Anolis sagrei: one gene and its partners. The protein of the gene in region 1 purifies or fractionates together with the protein of each later gene. This does not show direct contact. Links are inferred from orthologs where the notes say so. Each region holds a gene or a part of one and is shown on either strand. Other genes may lie near its edges. The genes, in order: FBXL5, CIAO2B, ACO1 and MMS19.

Region 1 (6,923 bases):
ATCCCACATTATCTGTTTTGAACTTGAATATATGGCAGTGTGCACTCAGATAACCTACTTCAAATCAGGTATTGTGAGATTTTCTGCCTTGATATTCTGGGTTATATCATCATCAATATTATCATCATCAAAACTTTATTTGTCTCCTGCCCCCTCTCCCCATAGGGACTCAACATTAAATAATAAACAAAGCAAATGGGCAATATAAACAATCAATTATATGACTGTGTGAAAGGGCCCTGGGTTATCTGAGTCCACGTTGCCTTCTTTCGTTGCCACCACCATCACATAAAAGGGGGCCTTCTCAATGTCTGCTCCACAGCTCTGTAACTCCCTTCCAAAAGACATCAGAATGGCCCCCTCCCTACTAACTTTCAGGCTTCAGATAAAAACTTTTATCTGGAAGCAGACCTTCAATGAAAATTAATACAAGCTCGATAGGCGCCATAGTAATATCTGGTGCTGAACATTTCTGTGCAATACCTTATGGACATGTGGAAATTGGAAGGATAATGGCTTCGGTTTATGTTTATTATGTGCTTAACTATACTTAAAGTACTGATTGTATTTCAATCAGTAATGTGTTTTATTACGGTTTAATTGTCTTATTATGTTTTCATTGTTATTACTGACTATGTCAATTTCCTTTTTGTCCTAACATTCCTGTATGTTTTATATCTTGTTGTTAGTTGCTTTGAATCCCCTGTGGGGGAGAAAAGCAGGATGTAAATAAATAAATAATAACAATATATTCCAGTTCAAAGCGGAAAATGTGGATTTTATTTAGCTGTGTGGAAGGGGCTGTAGAGGCCTCCTTTCCTTTCCAGTTATGTCACAAGTGGCTTACAAAGAAGGGGGCTACGCCTAGAAAACCTCAAATGTAAAAGTGACAAAGTGCAAGGTGAAGACTGAAAGGAGGAAGTGTCTTCCAGGGTGAATAACTGCAGCTTGACCCACTTTGGCACCATCCACACACAGCTGAATAAAATCCTACGTTTTTTGCTTTGAACTGAAATATATGGCAGTGTGGACTCAGGGCCCTTCCACAGAGCCTTATAACCCAAAATATCAAGGTAGAAAATCCAACAATATCTGAGTCCATACTGCCATATATTCTAGTTCAAAGCAAAAAAAATAAATATGTGAGATTTTATTCAGCTGTGTAGAAGGGGCCTCAAGGCCCTTGCACACAGCCATATGACCCAGAAAAGCCACAATATCTGCTTTGAAGTTGGTTGTTATAGGGTGCTTCCATGCAGCCCTACATCCCAGAATATCAAGGCAGAAAATCCCACAATATCTGCTTTGAACTGGATTATCTGAGTCCACGCTGTCATATATTCCAGTTCAAAGCAGATATTGTGGGATTTCCTGCCTGGATATTCTGGGTGATATGGCTGCATGCAAGAGCCTTTAAAAGAGTGGGACCCCTTCCTAAATGGTTCTGGCCCAACTTACATATGTGAACGCATCTCCCCTTATGAACCATCTAGGACCTTAAGATCATCTGGGGAGGCCCTGCTCTTGTTACCGCCTTCATCACAAGTAAGTTTGGCGGAGACAAGAGACAGAGCCTTCTCGGCGGTGGCCCCTCAGCTGTGGAACACCCTCCCTATAGATATTATATCAGCCACCTCCCTTTTAACATTCTGGGAAAAAGTGAAGATGTGGCTTGTTGAACATGCGTTTCCAAATGCCGAGTAACTGTCATAGGAAAATGGAATGACGACAATGAGGCCGGACAACATTTTTAACAAGGAGACACTATGAATTTATATTTTATTGAGATGTTTAATTTTTTATTATATGTTATGTTTTAAATTATATTTATGATATTGTAAGCATTGAATTTTACCCTGTTCACCCCCTTGAGTCGCCTATTGGCTGAGAAAGGCGGTATACAAATACAGCAAATAAATAAATAAATAGTTGAATAAAATCCCACATTATTTGAACTGGAATATATGGCAGTATGGACTCAGATAATCCAGTTCAAAGCAGATATTGTGGAATTTTCTGCCTTGATATTCTGAGTTATATGGCTCTGTGGAAGGGTCCTAAGTTTTTGTCATGAAGGGACGCCAGAGGAGTCTTCGCGGAAGTGGATAGATTTAGGGCCCTTCCAGGCAGCCCCTATATCCCAGGATCTCATCTCAGGTTGTTTATCCCAGATTATCTGGCAGTGCGGGCTAATATTGTGGGGTTTTCTGCCTTGATATTCTGGGTTATATGGCTCTGTGGAAGGGTCCTAAATTTTCGTCATGAAGGGAGTGGAAGTGGATAGATTTTGGGCCCTTCCAGGCAGCCCCTATATCCCAGGATCTGATCCCAGGTTGTTTATCCCAGATTATCTGGCAGTGCGGGCGCATATAACCCAGTATAAAGCAGAAAAACTGGTATCAGTTCCTGGGATATAGGACCTGTCTGGAAGGGGCCTTAGAGTCGACGGAGGAAAAGAGGTGAGGAAAGAGGGGTGAGGAAAAGAGGTGAGAGTGAGTCCTGGGATGTCTTGGCGGGGGGAGGGGGGAGCCTTCCCAGAAGAGCGGCTGTTCCGCAAGGCCAGTGGAGGGAGGGGGTGTGATGCTGATGAGGCGCTCAGAGCGGCGCGCGAGGCGGGGACGTCTGCGCAGCCGCCAGTCTCGCCCCTCTCCTCAGATCGCGCGCGCTCGCCGCCCCCTCCCCTCCCCTCTGCTCTCGCGCCCAAACCCTCGCGCGCCAGGCTCCGAACCCTGGCTGATGGAAGCGCGAAGGGCCGGAGGCGTGTCTCGGCGGCCGAGAGGGTTCCGCAGAGCCCCGCCTGGCCGCCCCGCTCTCTTCCCAACCCGGCCTCCGTACCTTGTCGCAGTAGAGCCCCACGAGCTGCTTCATCCGCCAGTGCGGGGCCGTGAAAACATCCACCTCCTCAGGGAAGGGAGCCATCTTCTCTTCCCCATATAGAGGCGCTCGCTCGACGACCGCGGGTCAAACGGCGGCAGGCACGGCCTTCGCCTTGCGCACGCGCGCCGCAGCGGCCGCTCGCGACCCGACGCGGAAGGCGCATGCGCTGGCAGGTTGCTTCACAGGTCACGTGCGAAGCGTAGACCCAAACGAGGCGGAAGAGGCGATTTCCGAGTGCGCCGTTGGGGAGACGCCATGTTTCAGCGCCGCCCTTGAAAACCAGGGAGATTTCCATTCAGGGCCCTTCCAGGCAGGCCCTACATCCCAGAGTCTGATCCCAGGTTTTCCCTTTATCCCAGATTATATGGCAGTGCGGACTCAATCCAGTTTAAAGCAGGCAACCTGAGATCAGATCCTGGGATATAGAATCAGAGTTGGGCCATCCAGTCCAACCCCCTGCCAAGAAGCAGGAAAATTGCATTCAAAGCACCCCCGATAGATGGCCATCCAGCCTCTGTTTAAAAGCTTCCAAAGAAAGAGCCTTCACCACACTCTAGGGCAGAGAGTTCCACTGCTGAACATCTCTCATAGGAAGTTCCTCCTAATGTTCAGGTGAAATCTCCTTTCTTGCTGCATGGGTCCTTGCACATAAATGCCTTTTCGAAGAGTTCCCAAATTTTGAGGCCGTTTTTTCTGCTGAGAAAAACAATGTGGGCAGTCAGAAAATGGCTGCACTTCAACCCACCTTGCATAGGAAGAAAACATCTTTGGTTAGGTTTATACAAGTCTGAGAATTTGCTTTTCTCTGTTGTAAATAGACTTTGTGACGCTATCCTACCGTGAATGGAGATTATTTGCAGTAGAACTTTGTGAGCACAAATATATCATGTGATAAGGCAACAACCTTCAGGCAAGTTATCTCCAATTGAAAAGCGATTTTAGTCTGGACCGTGGCACACTGAGATGGAAGCCCCTTCTACACTGCCATATAAAATCCAGATTAAATTATTTGAACTGGACTATATGGTAGTGTAGACTGATATAATCAAGTTCAAAGTAGATAATATCATAGAATCATAAAATTATAGAGTTGGAAGAGACCTTGTGGACCATTCAGTCCAACCCCCTGCCAAGAACCAGAAAAATCACATTCAAAGCACCCCCGACAGATGGCCATCCAGCCTGTACTTAAAAAACTCCAAAGAAGGCGCTTCCACCACACTCAGGCAGAGAGTTCCACTCCTGAACAGCTCTCATAGGAAGTTCTTCCTAATGTTCAGGTGGAATCACCTTTCTTGTAGTTTGAAGCCATTGTTCCACATCCTAGTCTCCAGGGCAGCAGAAAACAAGCTTGCTCCCTCCTCCCTATGACTTCCTCTCACGTATTTATACATGGCTATCATGTCTCCTCTCAGCCTTCTCTTCTTCAGGCTAAACATGCCCAGCTCTTTAAGCCACTCCTCATAGGTCATGTTCTCCAGACCCTTGATAATTTTAGTTGCCCTCCTTTAGGGAGGGTCCTCCATTGTAAACGGGGAAGCTGCCAGTAAGGGCCCTTCCACACAGCCATATGATTATAATAAAATAGTTAAAAACTAATTTCTACACACTAGCATATGGAGAGGAGGAGGATTGGATGACGGATGCACAGCTAAGTAGGCCCTGTTTGGAAATTACTATTGCGTATGGGCTTTGATGACTTTGTTGGCCTTGTTGACACTACTGGCCATATAATTAATTTTAAACATTGCAAACGATCTTTTATGTGTGTGTGTTTTTAAAAACAAATGGTTGTACTTTTATGTTAATTATTAGATCAGGTTCTTAATGTTAGATTGTGTGTTTATAACTTGGTTTTAGATGTTGGTCTACTTTGGGATTTAGTTGGTTTGTTTATTTGTGTCTATTATTTTTCAAGGCATTGAATTTTTGCCTTTTTGTCTGTAGGAATCCGCCCTGAGTCCCCTTGGGGACATAGGACGGAATACAAATGAAGTATTAGTATTATTATTACATAACCTGGAATATCAAAGCAAAAAGTCCCACAATAACTGCTTTGAACTGGGGCCCCTTCCACAGAGCTGAATAAAATCCAACATTATTTGCTTTGAACTGGAATACATGGCAGTGTGGATTCAGATAACCCAGTTCAAAGCAGATATTGTGGGATTTTCTGCCTTGGTATTCTGGGATATAGGGCTGTGTGGAAGGGCCCTGGGTTATCTGACTGCCCTTTCACATAGCCATATAACCCAGAATATCAAGGTATTAGATCTTTCTGGTGGAGTTCAGAATGCTCTTTGATTGTAGGAGAACTATAAATCCCAGCAACTACAACTCCCAAATGACAAAATCAGTTGTGCCCCCCCCACCCCCAACCCCACTGTCTTCAAATATGAGTGTATTGATTGGGTATTTGTGCCAAATTTGGTCCAGTGAATGAAAATATATCCTGCATATCAGATATTTACATTATAATGCATAACAGTAGCAAAATTACTGTTATGAAGTAGCAATGAAAATAATTTTATGGTTGGGGGGTCACCCCAAAATGAGGAACTGTATTAAGGGATTGCAGCATTAGGAAGGCTGAGAAACTGGTTTAGAGGGCACTGTGGTTTTGGCTTTGAATACATTTTAAACTAGTTTTAAGGATTTACACTGTTTATTTTTATACCATTAATATTTAATTCTATGTTAATGTTTGTATGTTCTTCAGGTTTTAAATTGTATTGTATCTGTTTTATTGTAAGCCACTTTCAGTCTCTGGATAGAAAAATGGGGTATAAAGAATAATCATAAATAACAACATTATAGCTGTATTAGAAAATAGCAGCTCAATAATTTGTTGTTTTGTTCAGAGTGCAGTGTAACTTTTTATTTTGCACACAAAAATCAAGGTGGCATCATAGCAACAAAATTTTAGCAGCAAACCAAAGAAACAAAATATCACTCTCTAGGCCAAGAAAACAACAGTTTCCAAGCAATGTTAGAATGCCAGTAGTGTGGGAGCCGTGCAAGTTTCTGTGGGAGGATGTTCCATAGCCTAGGCAACCCTAAAGAGAAAAAAAGCCTTGTCTGCCAATTAGACTTCTGGTAACAGTGGGATGTGCTGCAGTTTTTTCCAATTCCCAGCTTGCCCAATGAAACTAAGGGACAATGTTCTACTTTCTGGACAAAAATATACTTTCAATGTGTAAAAAAAACAAAAAAAACAAACAGAAAATGTACTGCTTCTTGTTTTGCACGCACAGCCATAAATTGCTTGGTCCCTATGAAAGGTCTAAAACCAGACATTTTTACCTCTGTCATCAATTTTTCAATTTTCTGTGGTGGGACTGTGTGTGCCTGTGAGGCAAGAGGCTATTCTGGTGGTAGCGGTACAGCTAGTAGGGCCACCTAGTGTTCATGGTTTGAGTGAGTGGGTCAGAGATGGGGCTAAGCCCACAGTAGCAATAAAGGTAAAGGTAAAGGTTTCTCCTGATATTAAGTCTAGTCATCTGACTCTGCGGGGTGGTGCTCATCTCCATTTCTAAGCCGAAAAGCCGGCATTTTCCTTAGACACCTCCAAGATCATGTGGTCAGCATGACTACATGCAGCATCTTTACCATCCCGCAGAAGCGGTACCTATTGATCTACTCACATTTGTATGTTTTTGAACTGCTAGGTTGGCAGAAGCTAGGCCTAACAGCGGGAGCTCACCCTGCTCCCCGGATTCGAACCACCAATCTTTTGGTTAGCAAGTTCAGCAGCTCATCGGTTTAACCTGCTGTGCCACCAGGGGCCCCAGTAGTATACCCTTTCACAAATAAAAATCAGGATGTTTGTGCGCAGATCTGGGTGTGATTATTCAAAGGGGTCTCCTCAAAGAAAATTCTGTTTAACTGGAATGGCTCTCCATCTCCCCTGTGTTTTGAAAGTGCGTTCATTCCATTTGCTTCCTTTCAGAAGCAATTTGAAGTCATATCACACAGGATATACTGTTCCAAAGCAAGAAGAGGCTGTACCAGTTTTTGCCTGGATCTACTGGGAAGGGAAAGATTCT
Region 2 (7,624 bases), on another chromosome or scaffold:
GAACGGCTCTCACAGTCAGGAAGTTCTTCCTCATGTTCAGATGGAATCTCCTCTCTTGTAGTTTGAAGCCATTGTTCCTTTGTGTCCTAGTCTCCAGGGAAGCAGAAAGGAAGCCTGCTCCCTCCTCCTCCCTGTGGCTTCGTCTCACATATTTATCAATGGCCCTCATCATATCTCCTCCCAGCCTTCTCTTCTGCAGGCTAAATATGCCCAGCTCCTTAAGCCGCTCCTCATAGGGCTTGTTCTTCAGATAGTAAGTAGATATATATATATACACACAGATAGATTGATACTGATAGAAGGTAAGTAGATAGATATAGCTATTTGATTTGTCATTGATCCACTCTGGCTTTGTGCAAATCTCCTATTTCCCAAACTATATGATCCTGTGCTTTGCTTTTCTATTTCCGTCTGAACAATTTAACCCTTGGTTCCTCCCCACTGAGTGCAAGGCCTGTGGCCTCTTCCTCTCCAGCTTGGGAGTCGGATGTCCACCCGCGGCCTTTTGCAAGAGGCTCTGTCCATCTCATTTTTGCCCCACAGGCCTCTTTGACCCTGCCCCACAGCCCAGTTCTTTGGCGCAGCTCCTCATGGCTGGCGTTCTCTCTCCTTGTCCTGCCACACGTCCATCCATCCATCCATCCATCCATCTTTCTTTCTTTCCTTCCTTCCTTCTTTCCATTGCTCTCTGGGTCACCGCCAACTTTCCGTCCTCTATCTTTGTTGTTGCCTATGTTCTTGCCCGTGTGTGTTTGTGTAAGGGGGGTGGGGGGTGGTGGTGAGATAGCTAGCTAGAAAGAGACATAGACACACAGAGACATAGAAAGAGATGTAGACTCATGGAGACATTGAGAAACTGATAGTGATAGATAGTGACAGAGATGCAGACAGAGAGATCTAGGCAGAGAGAGAGAGAGACCTGGACGCGTGCCTCCTCGACCACGTTGAGCTCCTCCAGGGTCAGCGGGTGCTCCGGGTCCGAGATGGCGCGGATGAGGTGTGCGGGTGTGTTAAGGAGAGAATACTGCATAGCTATGAATGTGTCAACCTTGCTCATACATGTGTAACTGTTCAACAGGAATCCACCCAACATCTTTGCTAAGTTCATTTTGGAGTTATTGGTTGTTCAGTCTTGCATCGTAGTTCATTATGATGCACAATACGTGAATGCTGAACAATTCAGTGGAAAGGGAAATGGCAACACAATGAACTAATAATAACAGTTAATCAAACCGAACCGTTGATGAAGTGTGCACTTCTTCCTAAGCTATCTGATGTGAGAGAACCGCATCCTGCTCCCTCGCTGCAGCAAACTGGGACCATCTTTGTGTACCCTGGTATCAATTCCCCCCCCCCCCCCCCCCGGGAAACTCTCCAGGTCCCAGCCACCAATGGGCCAAGGCCAATCCGTGGAGCATTCCTTTGAGTCGCACTGATTTAACATCAACAATACTTCTTTTTTAGGTCAAAATTCTAGAGACGTATATTTAAAAACTGTCAATAAAAATAACCATGAACAATTTATACATCTCAAATAAACATCAAAGAAAACAAAACAAATTGTGGCGCAGCTGGCTGAGCGTCATCTGCATTCAGATCTCTCTGACCAAAAGGTCATGAGTTCAAAGCTAGCCCGGGTTGGAGTGGGTTTCCAACCAATTGTGTAGCCCGTTGTCGACCTTTGCAACCCGAAAGAGAGTTGCATCTGTCAAGTAGGAAAATAAGGTACCACCTTTAAAAAGTGTGGGGAGGCTGGATTAACTGATTTATGAGGCCATAAAGAAGACTCCAGCAAAGCATTCCAGCGGGAAGCATGCGGGGAATGCGGAAGTGCTTCATCAGCGTCGCAGATGGACGAGGAAAGCGACGGCTCCCCTGGTGCCCAGAAAAAAGTGAAATAGCCTCTGTGTATGTATATGTTTGCATGTCAAAAATTGGCATTGAATGTATTGTCGAAGGCTTTCATGGCTGGAATCACTAGGTTCTTGTGGGTTTTTTCGGGCTATAGAGCCATGTTCTAGAGGCATTCTCTCCTGACATTTCACCTGCATCTATGGCAAGCATCCTCAGAGGTAGTGAGGTCTGTTTGGTAACTGGGAAAAGGGGTTTATATATCTGTGGAATGGCTGAGGTGGGGCAAAGGACTCTTGTCTGCTGGAGCTAGGTGTGAATGTTTCAGCTGATCACCTTGATTAGCATTTGAAGGCCTGCCTGAGCCTGGGAAAATCTCTTGCTGGGAGGTGTTAATCTGGTTGTTTCCTCTCTGTTATTTTGCTGCTGCAATTCTAGAGTTTTTTTAATACTGGTAGCCAGATTAACACCTCCCAGCAAGAGATTTTCCCAGGCTCAGCCAGGCCTTCAAATGCTAATGAAGGTGATCAGCTGAAACATTCACACCTAGCTCCAGCAGAGAAGAGCTCTTTGCCCCACCCCAGCCATTCCACAGATATATAAACCCCCCTTTTCCCAGCTCCAGCAGACCTCACTACCTCTGAGGATGCTTGCCATAGATGCAGGCGAAACGTCAGGAGAGAATGCCTCTAGAACAGCGCCACATAGCCCGAAAAAACCCACAAGAACCTACTGGCATGGAATGTTTGCCATATATGTGTGTACACTGTGATCCGCCCTGAGTCCCCTGCTGCGGGGGGAGGAGAAGGGCCGAATAGAAAAGCTGCACATAAATAAATAAGTAAATAAATAAACAGGAGGTCCTCCTTCCTTCCTCCAGGCAGGGCAGCCCCCTCCCCTCCCCTCCCCTCTAAAGCCCCCCCCCCCCCCCGCCCATTCCCCGCCGGCGGGAAGGATATCGAAGACCTCCCTGGGGTCGATGGGGTCCGGCAGGGCCTCGTCCTCCTCGCGCGGCGTCACGGCCCGCTCGCCCTGACGCCGGAACACCAACGGGTTCGCGTTCTCCAGCAGACCCTTGCCCCCACCCGCCATCGCCATCGCCAGGCGCCTCCGCGCCGGAACGCCTCCGCCGGGACACGCGCCCCCGGGGAACCACAAGCACGGCGCACACGCTTCCGGAGGACGGGACAGGGAGGGAGGGGGGAGGGAAGGAGGGAAGGAGCCCGGCGCGCGCGCCCCCTGCCGGCCCGGGGAGGGAGGGAAGGAGGGAGGGAGGGAGGCTCAGGCAGGAGGCGCCGCCAATGGGGGAAACCGGGGCGAGGAGCCTCTCGCTCGGCGGAATGGCCGGCCAGCAGGGGGCGTGGAGGGAGGGAGCGGGTTGCACACAACCGGCTTCACAGCAGAGACGCTAGAGCTGGTGTTCGGGGGGTGTCTATTCGTGGCCACTTTGTTGTTGTTATTATTATTATTATTATTAGCCGTCTCCTGCCAGGCGTTGCTGTGGCCCACATGGGGGTTCTGTGTGGGAGGTTTGGTCCAATTCCATCGTTGGTGGGGTTCAGAATGCTCTGTGATTGTAGGTGAACTATACATCCCAGCAACTACAACTCCCAAATGTCAAGGTTCTACTTTTCCCCAAACTCCACCAGTGTTCACATTTGGGCATATTGAGTCTTCGTGTAGAGCAGGGGTCCCCAAACTTTTTAAACAGAAGGAAGGCCAGGTCACAGTCCCTCACATTGTTGGAGGGCCAGGTTATAATTGCAAAAAACAAAAAAAACCCACCCCCAAATAAATTCCTATGCACACTGCACATCTCTTATTTGTAGTGCAAAAACACTTAAAACATAATAATTAAAATGAAGAACAATTTTAACAAATATAAGCTTATTAGTATTTCAATGGGAAGTGTGCGCCTGCTTTTGGCTGATGAGATAGGATTGTTGTCGTTGTTGTGTACTTTGAAGTTGTTTCAGACTAAGGTTGACCCTGAGTTTGAGGATCCCTGGTGTAGAGTTTGGTCCAGATCCATCATTGTTTGAGTCCACAGTGATCTCTGGATATAGGTGAACGACAACTCCAAAACCAAAGGACACTGCCCTCCAAACCCTTGCAGTATTTTCTGTTGGTCATGGGAGAACGGTGTGCCAAGTTGGGTTCAATTCCATCATTGGTGGGGTTCAGAATACTCTTTGATTGTAGGTGAACTATAAATCCCAGGAACTACAACTCCCAAATGACAAAATCATTTTTTTGAGTGAAGGTCACTCATTGGGTTGTTATGTGTCTTGTGTCCAAATTTGGTGTCAATTCGTCCAATGGTTTTTGAGTTCTGTTAATCCCACAAACGAACATGACATTTTGATTTAGATAGATTGTGTATGTAGAAAACAAAACAAATAAAAGGGGGAAAAAGAAAAAAAATATTCAAAAAATTTACCAAAGAGTGGGGTCAGGGGGTGGGGTTCATGGGGGGGGGGGGATAGAGGGTTATGAAATGTTAAGGTATAAATAATTGTACAACCAAATCTGTTTGTTCGTATGTTTAATGAGCACTGAATATTCACTCTTTTATTCGTGGCCACTTGATGTCCTGGCGCAGAGTCTTTCCCTTTGCGGGACTGAGGTCCTCGGGGGAGGTCCAGGCACAATGGCTGGGGGCCAGAGAGATAGAGAGACAGGGGCTTCTCGGTGGTGGCCCCCCGGCTGTGTATCTCCCTCCCTGGAGAGAGGAGAGCACCCCCTCCTCCCTCTCCTTCAGAAAGAGGGTCAAGACCTGGCTGCGGGACGGAGCCTTTGGGGCAGGGCAAGGGGGCAAGGACAGGACACACACACCCCTCGGATGACCGGAGCCAGCAGTAGCAGGGTGAGCCTAGATATGGAATGCTTGCTGGGTGTATGCGTTGTGCTCTGCCTTGAGTCGGGGTGAGAAGGGCAGAATATAAGGGTCTCAAATAAATAAAGTGTTCCAGCAGCATTCTCTCCTGACCTTCCCCCTGCTGCGGAGGCCAAGGTCATCTTCAGAAGATCTAACCCAAACCCTAATTGGCCAACAAGTTAAACATGAGCCAGGAATGATGTGGCGGCAAAAAAAGCCAATGAGATTTTGGTCTGCATCAAGAGGAGCCTCGTGTCTAGATCTAGGGAAGTCTCTCCCCCCCCCCCCCTCCCCGGTGCTCTATTCTGCTTTGGTTAGACCACGTTACCTGGAATATTGTGTCCAATTCTGGGCACCACAATTCAAGAGAGATATTGACTCTAAGCTGGAATACTGTGTCCAGAGGAGGGCAACTCAAATGATCAAGGGTCTGGATGATATCGAGCTCTTTTAGGGGGCTCCTCCAGACGGGAGAGCCCTAGGACTGCACCAAAAAGAGTCCTGGATACCTTGGTGAGATTTTTCCGGAAGCCAATCCAAGAGCGCAAGAATATTTTTTAATATATAATCAGCTCACCAGAGGCGGAAGAAGTCCAGCGATCGAGGTTTCTTTGCGATTCAGCTGAGTCGGATGCAATTGTAGGGATAGTTCCTCTACAAGCATCCAGATACAAAGATTTCAGGCATTTTTATACAGTACAGAACAAAAGAAAGCAGTTTGAAACTCCCGCTGCCCCTTGCCGGCCGGCTTGATGCTGATTGACTGAGGCTGGAACAGCTGGGAGGAGGCTTGGCGGCCCGCCTCAGCTTACAGCCAATCAGAACGTTTCCTCGCCTCAGGAGGGCCAATGAGCGCCCTCCGCTCGCTTCCGAGTCTGGACCAATCAGGAGCGAGGAGGGTGGGACGGCCGCAGACAAAGGGGAAAGATGATGGGATTTGGATTTCCTGCCTGCTGGAATGCGGGCTTTGTCTTGGGCAGGAAAAGGGTGATATTTGGTACACAAAGAGCTTTCCTGTCCTTGATGGGTCTGGCGAGTGACTTGAATGGGCTAGATCGATATCGGACCACCCGGAGGGTCAACAATATCTGGGTGAATTAATCAGTCTCTTTTTCCGAGGCTCTGCTGACCCCTGTTCCCTCGCTGGCCTTGCTCCGAGGGCTAGGGTTGGGGATCAGCAGCATTGTCCGTGCTGATGAGTCAATCAATGGGTGATTGAGGAAGAGGCTGGGGCTCTTCCCTCAGGCAGTTCCTGGTCACGCCGGTTTTTGGTGGGGCGAGGGTCAAGGGGGGTGAGGATACAGAGGAATTCATAAGGGTTACATATTTCATAATCACAAGGCATAGGCATCACTAACTTACAGGCATTTCATATTCTTACAACCCACAATCCACCCCTAACCCCAGTTCATTACAGTAAGAAAATATTTTATTTATTTCATAAAAAAAGGAGAAAAGGAAAACTGGAAATCCCAAAGTCCGGGCGAAGAGGCTTGGAGGTGGAGGTCAGCCCAGGGTCCGGGCTAGCCAACAGAAGATCGGTTCTTCTTTGAAGCAGAAGCTGGAGCTGAAGGGGGAGCTGAGTTCCACTGCTCTGTCCTTGGTAAAACTAGCGCTCCCAACCGAGGATCGGGCCTCCCTGCCCGCCCCTCCTCTCCCAGGGCTCTTTTTTGGACAACGGCGGTGGGTCCCCGGCAGCGGGGGCCATGCAGGAGCGAGCGGCAGTGAGCGAGATGCAGCAGTCCGGAAAAGCCGGCAAAATTTGAAAATCAGCTGTTGACTCGGCCAGATTTAATATTTAAACAAAAACAATTATTTCCCGGGTGCAGGAGTCCAAAATGAGAAAACCAAGATGGCAGTTAGTCTTAGAATCTAATGCAGAAAAATATGAAATTTGAACGGGGCCGATCCGCCATGTTGTTGTTTTGGCGGATAAGGGGGCCCATTAGGAAAACCTCCGTATCCGCGGTTTTAACTAACGCAGATTTGGGGCCCCGGGGAGGCCGGGAAGGCATCCCCGGTGAGCTCACGGCTCCCCAGAGCTCAGAAAAAGGTTTATTTTTTGTTAGAAAAGTTTCAGTCAGTAAAGGACACAAAGTATCAAGCGGAAAGGATTTAAAGTTTCAAATCTTAAGTGTTTTATTAGGGGCTTTGTTACAAAGAGAGGGAGAGGGGAAAGTGAAAGAAAGGCTTCTTGCAGCCTTGAGTTTAGCTTGAGCTGCTCGCTGGGGCACATTCCATCAGTCAGGCCCAACTTGGCTCTCCGGAACTGCGGAACTCCCTGCTGCGGTTCAGACCAGCTTGAAGGCGGGAGATCCTGCCGCCTGGGGGGACAACATGGAGAACAAGCCCTATGAGGAGCGGCTTAAGGAGCTGGGCATGTTTAGCCTGAAGAAGAGAAGGCTGAGAGGAGACATGATGAAGGCCATGTATCAATATGTGAGAGGAAGCCTCAGGGAGGAGGAGGGAGCAAGCTTGTTCTCTGCTTCCCTGGAGACTAGGACGCAAGGGAACAATGGCTTCAAACTACAAGAAAGGAGATTCCACCTGAACATGAGGAAGAACTTCCTGACTGTGAGAGCCGTTCAGCAGTGGAACTCTCTGCACCAGAGGGAATGTGGTGGAGGCTTCTTTGGAGGCTTTAAAACAGAGGCTGGATGGCCATCTGTCCTGGGTGATTTGAACGTGATTTTCCTGCTTCTTGGCAGAATGGGGTTGGACTGGATGAAGGCCCAGGAGATCTCTTCCAACTCTAGGATTTGATGATTCTATGATCTAATGGCGATAAAGCAAGTGGAATGCACACACACACACACACACACACACATATCTGTGGAATAGTGTCCAAGAACCCTCGTCCATGAGAGCAAGTGCGCATGCTGCAATTCGCCAGTT
Region 3 (7,504 bases), on another chromosome or scaffold:
ATGGAAGCATGCTCCTCTGGCTTTGAAATTGTACTGCATCCCTCTTATACACCTGACCTCGCACCATTGGACTTCCACTTCTTTCCAGCAATGATATTTTTGAAGGGCAAGGATTTTTCAGATGAGGAAACTCTGATTTATGAAGTCACAACATGACTTTTGGAGCAACCTGCCAACTTCTGCAAGCAAGGTGTTTTCAGTTACTTAAAAAGATGGGAGAAGTGTGTGTCTCTATGTGGCACCTATGTAGAGAAGGACTACTAACTATGCCAAGTTTCCTTGCTCTCGGTCCACAGGAAGTAGGTCAGGGGAAATCTTTCATTATCATGAGATAAGATTGTTCGTATCTTGAGATCTCAGCTGATGCTCATTTCAGCAACCCTACACTGATCATCACAGAAATCTGTGCTGCTTTCTTCGGGGAGAAAGGCAGCTTAACCTCTTCCAAGTTCCCAGCAGCAGCCAAACCAAGCCAGACAACCTGCTTGCTATGACAGTCCTGTGGAGCAGAAGGGGTGCCATGGGACCACAGAATACATATCTGTCAAGGCATCCCGTTCATTTTCCTCCCCTTGGCACCTCATTGTTACCTTGGGGGTCCTGGAAAAGGTCCAAAGAGCACTGTGAAAGGCTGTCATCTGACTGATTGATGCTAGTTTGGCAGAAACTCTCTTTATGCTTGCACTTTATGCCACATGCTTGGGATGTATAGTTGCACCCCTCAGGATCTTGTCAGACTCATGGAAGTAGGACACATGAATGGCACCAGCTCCACTACAGGCACAATAGTCACAAACCTCCCTGTATTTCTTGCTTGGGGACTCAGTTGTTTGTCCTACACTCCTCCGCTATCTTGTCATGCCCTTTTGCCCTTATCTGTTCTGACACATTCTGTAGGATTTCATAATTTCTATTTCTATGTGAAACTTTCAGCTGTGCTTGCATTTTCCCAGGCCCCATAGGCCTATGAGGTACAGCGTCTCCTGATGCCTTAGGATGCCCCTTTGCACCTTTTGGGGTCCCTTGTGTTTAAAGTGAGGTTAAGGGCTGTGCATCACATGGAACATTTGCTTTTATGGGGATATTTAGTGCTCTGTTGCAGCACAATTTTTGCATGATTTCTGATTTTCTTCTGACTTTTTTAAAACATGCATTTTCCCTGCTGATGAACATTGCAGTGCACATTAGAGGTGTGTGTTTTTGAAGCCACCTTCCTCCCTCATAATCCACTGCATTTTGGATCTCCTGGTCTGCGTAGATGGCACCCATAAATTGATGGTGAGGTCACGAAGAAGAGTCCTAAGTGACTGAACGAATAAACAAGTATCTTGATAGTGGTTAACAATGAATACATTTCAACACTAGAGGGCAGGTTTTGCTTAAGTATATGTACGTCAAGTCAACAATACTGTACAAAACCATACAATAGATACTTATATATAGATGCTTATGTGTTCTTAAGTTTAATTTGTATGTAAGTCAGAATAGGTACACTTTTAAAGTGATTTTAATGTTTGTATATATTTATGGTTTTATGTTCAGCATTGAATATTTGCCTTATATATCTTGTGCTCTGCCCCAAGTCCTCTGCGGGTTGAGAAGGGCAGAATATAAATGTTTTAAATAAATTAAATAAATAAATAGTGTGTAACTTTAAATGCATATAAGCATTCGGTAGCATAGGTAAGGGTTAACACTCCTGTGATGTTTGTTCTGCCGCCTGCGCCCCTGTTCAGAAGATTTCCCTTCACTTTTTGTCCCTGTGAAAATTGGATTTTGAAAAAAAAAAATTGGCTTGTTTTGAAAACAAGGATTGGTGAGAAAGCTTCAGTGGAGACACCCTTTTCCCATTACAATAACTCTTTCAGTAGTGAATGTCCCTTCCTAGGGATAGATTTCCCTCACTTCCTGTTGTCTCACCTCTGATCTTAACTCAGAGTCATTTGAAAATCAGATATTTGTAACTGTCCCTGTACAGCTACCGTAACTAGTAATGTTTTAATGGAGCCTTTTGTGGTAGAGGAAATCCATTGACAGGTGGGATTGGATGGGGATATGAATTTTAAAGCCATTTTAGTGTACTTACTGTATTTTAATTCTGTTTTTCCTTCACTGTTACTATTTAATTGCTTTTTAACTTTTGCATTGCCCTTTTTAAATGTGTCTAGTGTGGATATTATCTGATAATCTGGATTATATGGCAGTGTATTTAATTTATGGTCATATGTTTTCAACTTTGTTGTACCCCACCTCAAGCCATCAGGAGAGGCGGGTAATAAATAAAATGTATTTATTTATTAATCAGCCAGGCCTTGAAGCTGCAAGGCTTTGCAATGCTAATCAAGTTGATTAATTGTAACAATCACAATTGCCTCCAACAAACAAGAGTTCTTTCTCCCACTCTGGACCTTCCACAGATATATAAACCTCCCTTGCTTAGTTTACAATATGCATTAGGACAGAATGCTTCTGGAACATGGCCATACAGCCCGGAAAATTCACAAAAACCCAAAATGTATTATTCTTTTTATTATCATTAAAAAGATGTTAAAAACAGCTGCAATCCACTGGGTGGCATCATTATTATTAAGGTTATTTATATCCCACTTTTTTGCCAACTGCAACTCCCAAGATGCCGGGGCTGTTCAAGCGGTGCCAAACTGCACACATTTTACAGTGTTCCCCACCAAACGGCAACTCCCAAGATGCCAAGGCAGTTCAAGCAGTGCCAAACCACACACATTTGACAGTGTGCCTCACCAAACTGCAACTCCCAAGATGCCAGGGCAGTTCAAGTGGTGCTAAACTGCACACATTCGACAGTGTGCCTTGTCAAATTGCAACTCCCAAGATGCCAGGCAGTTTAAGCAGTGCTGCACCGCACACATTTGACAGTGTGCCTTGCCAAACTGCAACTCCCAAGATGTCAGGACAGTTCAAGTGGGACCAAACTGCATGCAGTCAACAGTGTGGAGGCAATGAAGCAGACTCTGGGACTTCAGTGACCAGCAAAGAAAGGGTCAAGAATTTGACATCTCTGACCCATCCCCTGAATAGATATCAGCCAACATGCCAACCTCTTAATTCAAGAAACAGCTTCCTAAGGGTTAGGGCAAGGGTTAGGGTTTGGTTTAGGTTTACAGTTAGGGTAAGGGTTAGGGGTTACAGTTAGGGTACGGTTTAGGGTTAGCGTAAGGGTTTGGGTTTGAGTTAGGGTTAGGATTAGGGTAAGGTTTAGGGTTAGGGTTTGGATAAGGGGTTAGGCTTAGGCTTATGATACGGTTCAGGATTAGGGTTAGGGTATGGTTTAAGGTAAGGGTTTGGGTAAGGGGTTAGGTTTAGGCTTACGGTACAGTTCAGGGTTAGCGTTAGCGTTTCACCATTAAAGAACTCTTACATTCCTTACATTATCTGTCTCCGGCCTGGCTTACATTAGCTAAATCTCTCTTGTGCATCCCGAAGGAGCAATGCGGCATCTCCGTAATGCTCGGAGCTTCCAGACCCAGCTATCATACTATTACCATGGCTTCTCTCATGTCCCCGCATGGGGAGCTGGAGCTGACAGAGGGAGCTCATCCTAGCTCTCCCCAGATTCGAACCTCCGACCTGTCAATCTTCAGTCCTGCCAGCTCAAGGTTTTAACCCAGGAGTCCTCAACTAAGGCCAGAGGTTCAGATGTGGCCCTCCAAGGTCATTTACCTGGCCCTCGCTCACAGTCTGAAACGACTTGAAAGCACACAACAACAATCCTATCTCATCAAGCCCACACTTCCCATTGAAATACTAATAAGTTTATATTTGTTAAAATTGTTCTTCATTTTAGTTATTATATTGTTTTAAAGTGTCTATTGCACTACAAATAAGATCTGTGCAGTGTGCACAGGAATTCACTCATGTTTTTTTCAAATTATAATCCGGCCCTCCAACACTTTGAGGGACTGTGACCTGGCCCTCTGTTTAAAAAGTTTGTGGACCCCTGGTTTAACCCATTGCGCCACCAGGGGCCAGCTAACACCTTCCAACAAAGGATCCCCCAGGCAGCAACCAGCTAGGCTTTGAAGCTGAAAGGCCAATAAATGCTAATCAAGATGGCCAATCGGAACATTTACACTTTCCTTCTACAGACAAGAGTTTTTTCTTCCACTCTGGACATTCCACATTTTCCTCGTTTCCAACAGACCCCTCAACCTTTGAGGATGCCTGTCATAGATGGAGGCGAAACGTCAGGAGGGAATGCTTCTGGAACATGGCCAACATGGAAAACTCACAGCAAACCAGTGCCTTCGACAATGCCAAGTTTTTAACTTTGTGGTTTTTAAATATATTATAACTGTATTCTCAATTTACTTCTGAAGCGATAAATAAATAGTGACCCCAGAGGGAGAGCTTTGGGCTCAGATCAGATGAGAAACCAGGAGGAGGAGGCTTTCCTGGGGCCTGAAGGGAGGAGGAGGAAGCGCCCTCCTCCTCCTCTCCTCCTCCTCTCCTCCTCCTCCGCCTCCTTGACCCGGGAAGGAGGAGCCTGCGCGCAGAGGCAGAGCCGAGTTCAGCTGGCGGCTCCTGCTTTCTGGGCTGCACCGTGGCTTCTCCTTCTCTTCCCTGGGCCTCCGTCCAGGTAGGTGCCTGAAGCGCCTTCCCAGCGCCTGCCTGCCTGCCTGCCTGCCTCCCTTCCTTCCTTCTTTCCTCCTTTCTCCCCAGGCTTTTCTTGATCTCTGCTTCCTGCCTTTTCTGACTCCAGAGTAGCGCCTCCATAGTTGTGAATTTCCTTTTGGGATCTGGGGGGGGGGGGGGTGTTTATTTCTCTTCCTTAGTGTATTCTGCCATTGAATGTTTGCCATTTTTTGTTATTGGAAACCTCTCTGAGTCCACTGTGTTGTCGAAGCTTTCATGGGCAGTATCATTGGATTGCTGTGAGTTTTCTGGGCTGTATGGCCATGTTCCAGAAGCATTCTCTCCTGACGTTTCGCCTGCATCTATGGCAGGCATCCTCAGAGGTTGTGAGATCTGTTGGGATTTAGGCAAGTGGGGTTTATATACCTGTGGAATAATGTCCAGGGTGGGAGAAAGAACTCTTGTCCGCTTGTGTCAAGTGTGGATGTTGTAATTTGCCACCTTGATTAGCATTGAATGGCCTTGCAGCTTTAAAGCCTGGCTGGTTGCTGCCTGCAGGGGAATAACGTGATTTTAACAGCAATTGCTATGTTTATATGTTTTAATCTGTATTTAATTTTAATTTTAAAATATTTAATTTTAATGTATTTTAACATTGTTGTTCAAAGGCATTGAATAGTTGACATATGTAAAGCTGCCTTGAGTCCCCTTTGGGTTGGAGAAAGGCGGGATACAAATAGAGTAAGTAAATAAATAAATTTGTTGGGAGGTGTTAGTTGGCCCTGATTATTTCGTGTCTGGAATTCCCCTGGTTTTTGTGTTCCTCATTATTTACTGTCTGGATTTTAGAGCTTTTTTTAAAATACTGGTATCCAGATTTTGTTCATTTTCATGGTTTCCTCCTTTCTGTTGAAATTGTCCATGTGCTTGTGGATTTCGGTGGCTTCTCTGTGTAGTCTAACATGGTGGTTGTGAGAGTGGTCCAGCATTTCTGTGTCCTCAAGTAATATGCTGTGTCCAGGTTGTTTCATCAGGTGGCTGAGTCCCTTTGGGGAGATAGGGTTGTATAAAAATAAAGATTATTATTGTTGTTGTTATTGTTTTTGTTTTTATTTCTGCAGACCCCTTTTATTATTTCACCCAACTTTTGCTCCAAAGCAGGCCTACTTCCAGAAGCACTACTCACTCACTGCATAGAAGGCCTGCCAAAAGGCAGGCTGCATCTGCTGTCACTGACATGGCTTCCTGGGTGTTGTAGTTCGGTGAGGCACCAGCCCTCTTTGGCATAGAAGGCAAAAGGCCTCATGAAACAAGGGCTCCTTCCAGACAGGCCCTATATCCCAGGATCTGATCCCAGTTTTTTTTTGTTTATCCCAGATTATCTGGCAGTGGGGACTCATATAATCCAGTTTAAAATAGAAAACTTGGAATCGGATCCTAGGATCTGGGGCCAATCTGGATACAGGGCCAGCCTGCAGGCATGGCAGTTCAGAGTGCCTTCATTCTACAGCAAGCATGGGCCAACTTCAGTCTACAGTCTCCAGCCTCCTCTATGGACACCCCCCCCCCCCCATGGTGCAGTGGGTTAAACCAGGGGTCCTCAAACTTTTTAAACAAAGGGCCAGGCCACAGTCCCCCAAACTGTTGGAGGGCCAGATTATAGTTTGAAAAAAATATTTCTATGCACACTGCACATATCTCATTTATAGTGCAAAAAACACTTTCAAACGATTGAAATGAAGAACAATTTTAACAAATATAAACTTATTAGTATTTCAGTGGGAAGTGTGGGCCCACTTTTGGCTGATGAGATAGGATTGTTGTTGTTGATGTTGTTGTTGTTATGTGCTTTCAAGTCGTTTCTGACTTAGGTTGACCCTGGGCAAGGGCCGGGTAATTGACCTTGCATATTCGGCCCTCGGGCCTTAGTTTGAGGACTCTTGTGCCGGCAGGACTGTAGACTCACAGGTCACAGCTTCAAATCAGGGGAGAGTGTGGATGAGCTCCCTCTGTCAGGTCCAGCTCCCCATGCGGGGACATGAGAGAAGCCTCCCACAAGGATGGTAAAACATCAAAACATCCAGGCATCCTCTGGGCAATGTCCTTGCAGACAGCCAGTTCTCTCACACCAGAAGCGACCTGCAGTTTCTCAAGTCGCTCCTGAAATGAAAAAAAAAAAAAGCCTTCTCTGTCAAAGAGTTCTGTGCCTCAGCAAAATGCAAATCCCATGATTCTATAGCTTTGAGACATGGCAGTTGAGGTTGTGTCAACTGCATTAATTCTAGTATCCTTCCTTTCACCAGATTCTTAAAGGGATATAGGACCCAAAAAAGTTTGAAATCCACTGAACTAATTATACTGTTAGATTGGAAACTTTTCTTTCTTTCATTCTCTTTTTTATATTCTTGATTCTTGAGACACCACACCACAAAGGGTTTTGATTTGCCTTGGAAAATAAGTTTTCAAATTTCTCAGAGTGCCTTTTATTGAGCAGTATTATTTCTTTCCTAAACCCTTTTCATTAAAAAAAATGTCCTCCCTTTCTCTTTCTCCTTTCCCCTACTTACCCTGTTTGTCAGCAGGAGCAAAGTACATTGTCCTTTGCTTCAGGCTGTGGTTTATTCTCCCCTCCCTTCCCAAGATGCCAGAGGCTGTTTAAGCTCCGAGGTCCTCTTGGGTGGGCATTTCCCTGCTTATATCAAAACAAACTAAGCACAGCACACGTTTTATCTTGATCAACTTTAAATTGAGGATTATGATTCTTAGATCCTTAGGATTTTCTCCTAACTGCTGACTGTGTGTTGTGATTGGGGGCAGGAGTATAAGATAGGTAGAGTCTGGTAAAGTTATGCTTTTGATTCCAACTTGGGGGTCCTAGCCATCCAAAAAAGTA
Region 4 (7,475 bases), on another chromosome or scaffold:
GCTACCAGGGTTTTTTGAAATTAAAAAAATAAACACAAGGCTGATTTGTTCTGCATTCAAGTGAGTAGAACCTACCTTCATTTGCCCTCCTCACCCCATGCTACTCCCCCAGAAAAAGCAAGTATTACAGTATCATCATGTCTGCTTTGTCAAATCTTCTGAATATCTGTTATATTCTTGCAGTTCTATGAAAAACAACTGCTGCTAATCATGCTGTTTCCAGGCCCTTAAGAATGGTCTGCCTGAAGCCACATCAACACTGACCATTTAATATCATACCAAACCAAACTCCCACAAAAGCACCCAAAATAAATCCCTTAATGAGCTCTTTTGTTTGTATGATCATCATTTGGGCTTTGTGCTGGTTCCAGAATGTCCTATAAAATCATCTGCACAGTGAAAACGCTTTCTTCAATACCAGTTTGAAACAGCTTTAAATTATCAGTGTAGTTGGGGTCTCAATTTGACAATGCTGTGATGGTAGGATACAAGGAAGTGAGCACAGTCCCAGCAGGTCTATTGCAAGAATGAATTATATAAGCACTTCAGCATCCAAGGTAGTTCTGCCTAATCTCGAAGACATCATAGAGAAAACATTTTGTTTATGTGTGTCCTGGACCAATCAAAATTTATGATGGTCAAACTGCTTCTTTCATGCTAATTAAGTGTTACAGAATCTACAAAGACAGTTAACAAAGGCTGCAGCAATGACTCCCAGTGAGCAAAGCACATGAAACTGCTGGCTTTTTATCTGGGTTTATTTTTTTCCTTTTTCTTCTTATACACAAGTCTGTAAGAGTTAGTTAGCAGAAATATTATTTTAATCTGCAAGGCTGGCATTCAGAAGTTAACCCTACAAGCATTGCCTAACCCTATTCCCAGCCCCAGAAAACAGCAAAATACACTTTCCTTTTACCCCAGAAAGAAAATGCCTGCCAAAAGCAAGACAATATTTTAATCAGTCATTAAATTAGACATTTTAGAGAGATAATCAAGAGACTTAGTTCGCTTCTGAACTCCCAGAAAGACACATGTTGAGCAACTGTCATTAGCTGCAATCCAAAGAACATTTACTAGAAATAAGTTCTACTGAGCACTATGGGACTTATTTATGAATACTTTTAGGACTGTACACTCTAAGGTTTATGTGTTGTACAAGGTACACTCCCATTGTAAAATGGGAGGCCCGCCATTTTTTATCTTCACTCCTCTTTTTATCTTCTAGTACAACTGTAAATATAATGTGGTCAAGTGTGAGAAAATTACCCCAGGCACTGCACTTTGACCTTATGTAGAGCTATCAGGTAAGATCCAAGTTGAACAAAATTTGGCTTGGATATAAACAGGGAATTTAATCACAGAAATTTTAATCACAGATCTATAGGACCATCAAGCAGGATGCTTTCTTACACAGTTGAATCTCCATCACAGGGATCCTTAACACTACAAGTTTTGTCTCTTTAAAAAAAAAAGTCGCGAATTGGCCGTCTGCAAGGATGTTGCCCAGGGGACACCCAGATGTTTTACCTCCTGTGGGAGGCTTCTCTCATGTCCCTGCACAAGGAGCTGGAGCTGACAGACAGGAACTTACCCTGCTCCCCTGATTCAAACTAATGACCTTTAAGTCAGCAGTCCTGTAGGCACAAGGGTTTAATCCATTGAGCCACTGGGGGCTCCTTCTTTAAATAATAAAAGGTTGCAGTACTCAGGCTTTCCATGTCAGAAACATTACTACATGCATCTGCTTCAGCCTTCTGGCTGTCCCTGGATGAGCAGTATGCACACCCAAAAAGCAGATGAGCAGCATCTGCTCTTGGATACTCAGGGTCAGCTCCTTCTCAAAAACAAAACAAAACAAAACACAGGGATGCAGAAGACTGATAACATGCCAGAGCTTCTTATTTACATCCAAGTGAAGTGCTAGCTGAGGTGGACAAAGAAGAAAGCTTCAATGTTTTTCTTTTCCCTTCCCATCTTTTCAAATTTTCCATTCATGTTTTGAATGATTCTATGCTGCATATTTAACAACAAAATAATTTTGGATTTCATTTGAAGAAAAAGTAGAATGCAATAAAGGAAGGAAACAATGCAACAATAAAGGAAGGAAACAATTTTGGTGCAAATTTATACATGTAGCAGTCGGCATGGTTAGCAACAAAAATGTAGCTGTAACAATGCTAAACACAACCTTACCCACAAGAACAAATAAAATGAAACTATTCTCAGGAGCACATCGGAAACTATGATTAACACACATCTACAAGCTGGCCTTCTTACTGCTTGGAGATAATAGCCAATTGCCCCCACTCTATTTTCCTTATTCTGAAGTATGTAGATGCACAGAAATAGAGAAACTGATGCCTTATTTGACTACACATGATCTTGACTCATTTTGATCAGGATTTCATATAAGTCACTCCACTGAAATGGCCTTGACATATGATATTCTAACAGCTCAGTGTCAAACATCTACACTGTAGAGTTAAAGCAGTTTGGCACCACTTTGAGCTACCATGGCTCAATGCTATGGAATCATGGGAGTTGTAGTTTGGTGGGGGGCACTCACAGCCTCCAGCAGTGAAGTTGCAAGACCTTGTAAAACTACAATTCCCATAAAGTCAATAAAATTGAGCCATAGCAGTTGAAGTGGTGCCAAACTGTATTCATTCTACATTGCAGAACAGGCCTGGGCCAACTTGGGCCCTCCAGGTGAAAGGGGCCTGAGGCTGTTAGGAATGGTGGGAGTTGTAGTCCAAAACACCTAGAGGGCCCAAATTGGCCCATGCCTGGAGTAGATGCTCTCCCCCTTTCAAGCATCTCCTTCCTCCCGCTCTAAGGCATCCCTCCGCTCTTTTCTACTCCAGCCCTACCTTCCGCCGCCTCGCGGGCCGCATTTTCCCGCTCCCAGCCCTGCAACGGGGAGGCAGCCGCCCCCAGGTCCCCGCCCGCCCCGCCGGCCGCCATGATCAGGCCGAGAGTCAGTAGGGCGAGGAGAGGCCGCGACGGCGCATGCGCGTCTCTCTCCCTGCCTGTCACGTGGGACAGCCTCCCAAGGCCAAGCTCCAAGCAGGGCGAGGGAAGCGGTGCTGCCTGGTCCCATTGACTAAAAGCGCACACTTTACAATAGACCTGGGCAAACTTTGACCCTTCAGGGGATTAGGACTTTAACTCCCTAGGAATTGTGGGAGTTGAAGTCCAAAACTCCTGGAGGGCCGAAGTTTGCCCAGGTCTAATAGACTTAACCAGGAGCCACGCAGTCATGCCGGCCACATGACCTTCGAGGTGTCTACGGACAACGCTGGCTCTTCGGCTTAGAAATGGAGATGAGCGCCACACCCCAGAGTCAGACATGACTAGACTTAATGTCAGGGGACTACCTTTACCTTTTTAATAGACTTAACACAGTATTTCTCAACCTGTGGGTCCCCAGGTGTTTCAGCCTACAACTCCCAGCAATCCTTCCCAGTTTACCAGCTGGGAAGGTTTTCAGAAAAAACATCTATTTCTGTTTTATTGACTACTAGCCATCCCCTGCCATGCATTGCTGTGGTCCAGTCTGTATATATGTGTTTATTGTGTCTATATTTGTGTATATGTGTGTTTGTATGTGGTTTTGCACATCTGTTGTAAAAAAAATGGTTTTTGGTTTTTAAGTCTCTTCTGCTGTGTTTTTCAGTGTTTTTATGAGTGATGGTCACTTGTTGGCCTGAGAGGTGTACTGTGTCCAAATTTGGTGTCACTTCGTCCTGTGGTTTTTGAGTTATGTTGATCCCACAAACTAACATTACATTTTTATTTATATAGATTCTAAAGCCTTTGACTGTGTGGATCATAATAAATTGTGACAAGTTCTTGGTGGTATGAGGATATCAAATCATCTTGTCTATCTCCTGAGGAATCTGTATAACAATCAAGTAGCAAAAGTAAGAATTGACCATGGAACAACAGACTGGTTCAAGATTGGGAAAGGCGTACGGCAGGGCTGCATACTCTCACCTAATCTATTCAGCTTGTATGCAGAACACATCATGCAATGTGCAGGGCTTGAGGAAAGCAAGGCTGGGGTGAAAATTGCTGGAAGAAACATTAACAACCTTAGATATGCAGATGATACCCCTTTGATGGCCGAAAGCAAGGAGGAGCTGAGGAGCATTCTAATCAAGGTAAAAAAAGAAAGTGCAAAAGCTGGGCTGAAGTTTTTTTAAAAAAAAAAAACCCAAAGATTATGGCAACAAGACTGATTAATAACTGGCAAATAGAGGAAGAAAACGTGGAGGCAAAGATTACTGCAGACACAGACTGCAACCAGGAAATCAGAAGTTTACTTTTGAGGAGGAGAGCAAAGGCCAATCTTGAAAAAATAGTTAAGAGTAGAGACATCACACTGGCAAAGAAGATCAAAATAGTTAAAGCAATGGTATCTCCCGCAGTAACCTACGTATGTGAGAGCTGGACCATAAGGAAGGCTGAGCGAAAGAAGATAGACGCTTTTGAACTGTGGTGTTGGAGGAAAATTCTGAGAGTGCCTTGGACCACAAGAAGATCCAATCAGTCCATACTTCAGGAAATAAAGCCTGATGCTCATTGGAGGGAAGGACAGTAGAAGCAAAGATTAAATACTTCGGCCACATAATGAGAAGACAGGAAAGCTTAGAGAAGACAATGATGCTGGGGAAAATGGAAGGAAAAAGGAAGAGGGGCCGACCAAGGGCAAGATGGATGGATGTTATCCATGAAGTGACTTGCTTGACTGAAGGAATTGGGGGTGGTGACAACCGACAGGGAGCTCTGACGTGGGCTGGTCCATGAGGTCACAAAGAGTCGGAAGCGACTGAACGAATAAACAACAAACATTATTATTATTATTATTATTATTATTATTATTATTATTATTATCTGCCTTGATATTCTGGGTTATATAGCTGCGTGGAAGGGCCCTAGAATAAACATAGTGAGGTTTTAAAAGTGATGCAGATCCAAGATTTATTTCAAGTGGGAATGTGACAAAGGAAAAGCAGAAGGCAAAGGTGATTGACCTTTGTTCCTGTTTGTTGTTTTATAATGTTCAACATTTTGTTCAAATATACTGCATTTTACTGGATGGCTTTATAGAAAAAATACACATACTGAAATAAAGAATTGGTTTGCTGATGGATCAAAGATTTTAACCAGTGAAGAGTAACATCCAAAAAAAGTACCATTGGCTAAACGAGATAAACAAAGAGACTGAGGGTCCTTCCACACAAACACATAATCCAGAATGTCTGCTTTGAGCTGGATTATCTGGCAATGTAAATTTAGATAATCCAATTCAAAGCAGATAATGTGGATTATCTGCTTTGATATTCTGGATTATATGGCAGTGTAGAGGGGCCCTTAGTATTATGTCTAAATCCCACAAAGTTATTGATATCTTTAAAAGGTTAGGTCACCGGGACTTGTATGTGTGAGGGAGACTGTTACAGAGGGTTTGATCTCATAATTTTGTCAACTGGCTGGAACAATATTTATTTTGAATATATGCTTTTGAGATAACATCCAACATTAAGATTAGAAACTCATTATAACCAACTGTAGTCTTCCCATTAGAGAACAGAAGAGTATGAGCTCTGTATCCATGGGTTTCGTGTATCCATGTCTGACAAATAGGTCCTCTAATTTTCTAAGCCCTCCAGTGTGACTCTAGCTCTTTCTACATTGCCATATAATCAAGATTATCAAAGCAGATAATCCACATTATCTGCTTTGAACTGGGTTATATGAGCCTACACTGGTATATAATCTGGTTCAAAACGGATAATCTAGATTTTATATGGCAGTGTAGAAGGAGCTCCAATCATATTCTTAGACAGATGTCCTTCATTTCAATAGAAATTAAGATTACTAACTGGGGCGACATACAGGGAACATACCTCCCCCCTGTTGTGCCAGCTCCACTGGCTGCCGGTCCATTTCTGAGCCCAATTCAAGTGCTGGTTTTGACCTATAAAGCTCTATATGGTTCTGGCCCAGCTTACCTGTCCGAACGCATCCACCCCTACATCCAACCTTGTAATCTAAGATCATCCGGGAAGGCACTGCTCTCGCTCCCGTCAACAGCACAAATGCGTCTGGCGGGGACGAGAGGCAGGGTCTTCTCGGCGGTGGCTCCCTGCCTATGGAACACACTCCCAACAGAGGTAAGATCGGCTCTCTCCCTCCTGGCTTTCCAAAAGAAATTAAAGGCATGGTTTTGGGACCAGGCTTTCAGACATTAGATATAGCAGCACTTTAGAGGGACATGACTGGAATGACAATATGGCTGACAAGACTGTTTTACTGTTTTAATGATTGCTTATGTATTGTTTAACTATTATTTGTGTCCAATTGTGATTTTATTATTGTAATTGTCATGTAGCGGCCTTGTAACGGGGCACATTGTAAGCCGTCCTGAGTCCCCCTTCAGGGGTTGAGAAGTGACGGGATACAAATACGGGAAATAAATAAATAAAATAAAATAGCCTCAGATTTGTTTATCCATGCAAAGTTGACACACACAGATGCAGGGCTTGTTATGCATTGTACAACCTGCCAAAACCCTAAATGGGCATATTTAATTTTGAGATATTTAGACATGTTCCTTGGATACATGAAATATAGGTATATACTGACAGACTGCTGGTGATTAGTCGTATAAAGGAAAGGGTTTTTCACTTCCAGCAGTTTAATAATAGCAAGTAAAAATTAAATAAATTCCCTTTCAGGGCTTTATGTCAGTCACTTATCTCCCAGCCTCACTGTTCATTTCCTGTAAAGTAATTATTTTACTAAATTTTTTTAAAGCTCTGTTGGTAGTTAATTTATTATTTATGACCACATCTTAGTGAAGCTCTGCTAGGCAATTTTAGCACTGTGTTAGAATTACTGATCTGGAATCACTCAGATATAGATTTATAAACACATCCTAGTCTATGCATCATGAACTATAACTGATGATTAGCTCTGCTTCCTTAGCCAGCATTAGTATCTCAAATCTGCACTCCAGCCACTATTTTGCACCTGCTTCTAGCTGGTAGATCTCAGAATGTTATTTAAATGCTTTTTCCTCCATAGGCTATAGCAATCAGATTATTTATTAATTAAGTGTAGGTGAACCTCCAATTGTTTTAGACTTCAACACATAGAAGTTGTAGCCTAATGTTCAGGAATTCTGGCAGCCGAAACCACACAATCTGGAGAACTAGAGGTTGAAAACCATTGAGTTAAAAATGTACCATTGACAACAGAAGGTGATGATCTCAGCAGTGGGAGAGACAACAAATGATGGGGAGTGCTGGGAGAAGCAATGGCATCACACAACAGAGACTGTGCAAATAGGGAAAGGAATGGTAACAAATACGGGCAGATAAAACGTCCTTGGCATATTATAACATTCTAAACTAAAAGCAAGGTCATGTTTTCAATTTTCTTGCACTGATTCAGAAAGCTGTGGGAAG

Evidence for each region.
Region 2: the proteins of FBXL5 (region 1) and CIAO2B purify together in Homo sapiens (affinity purification with mass spectrometry; 3 studies listed by BioGRID and IntAct, counting the BioPlex papers as one, with this or other methods). This does not show direct contact. The link is inferred for Anolis sagrei from reciprocal best matches to the Homo sapiens genes FBXL5 and CIAO2B.
Region 3: the proteins of FBXL5 (region 1) and ACO1 purify together in Homo sapiens (affinity purification with western blotting; 3 studies listed by BioGRID, with this or other methods). This does not show direct contact. The link is inferred for Anolis sagrei from reciprocal best matches to the Homo sapiens genes FBXL5 and ACO1.
Region 4: the proteins of FBXL5 (region 1) and MMS19 purify together in Homo sapiens (affinity purification with mass spectrometry; 4 studies listed by BioGRID and IntAct, counting the BioPlex papers as one, with this or other methods). This does not show direct contact. The link is inferred for Anolis sagrei from reciprocal best matches to the Homo sapiens genes FBXL5 and MMS19.

What each region holds. Positions count from the first base shown.
Region 1 is NC_090025.1:108,299,312-108,306,234, forward strand, and holds the start of FBXL5 (F-box/LRR-repeat protein 5), read right to left. Parts: upstream 3,023-6,923; 5' UTR 2,920-3,022; coding exon 2,836-2,919; intron 1-2,835.
Region 2 is NC_090028.1:95,337-102,960, reverse strand, and holds the start of CIAO2B (cytosolic iron-sulfur assembly component 2B), read right to left. Parts: upstream 3,018-7,624; 5' UTR 2,950-3,017; coding exon 2,811-2,949; intron 1,000-2,810; coding exon 920-999; intron 1-919.
Region 3 is NC_090022.1:205,178,481-205,185,984, forward strand, and holds the start of ACO1 (cytoplasmic aconitate hydratase), read left to right. Parts: upstream 1-4,502; 5' UTR 4,503-4,615; intron 4,616-7,504. UniProt on the Homo sapiens protein: Bifunctional iron sensor that switches between 2 activities depending on iron availability. Iron deprivation, promotes its mRNA binding activity through which it regulates the expression of genes involved in iron uptake, sequestration and utilization.
Region 4 is NC_090023.1:217,825,304-217,832,778, forward strand, and holds the start of MMS19 (MMS19 nucleotide excision repair protein homolog), read right to left. Parts: upstream 3,003-7,475; 5' UTR 2,965-3,002; coding exon 2,871-2,964; intron 1-2,870. UniProt on the Homo sapiens protein: Key component of the cytosolic iron-sulfur protein assembly (CIA) complex, a multiprotein complex that mediates the incorporation of iron-sulfur cluster into apoproteins specifically involved in DNA metabolism and genomic integrity.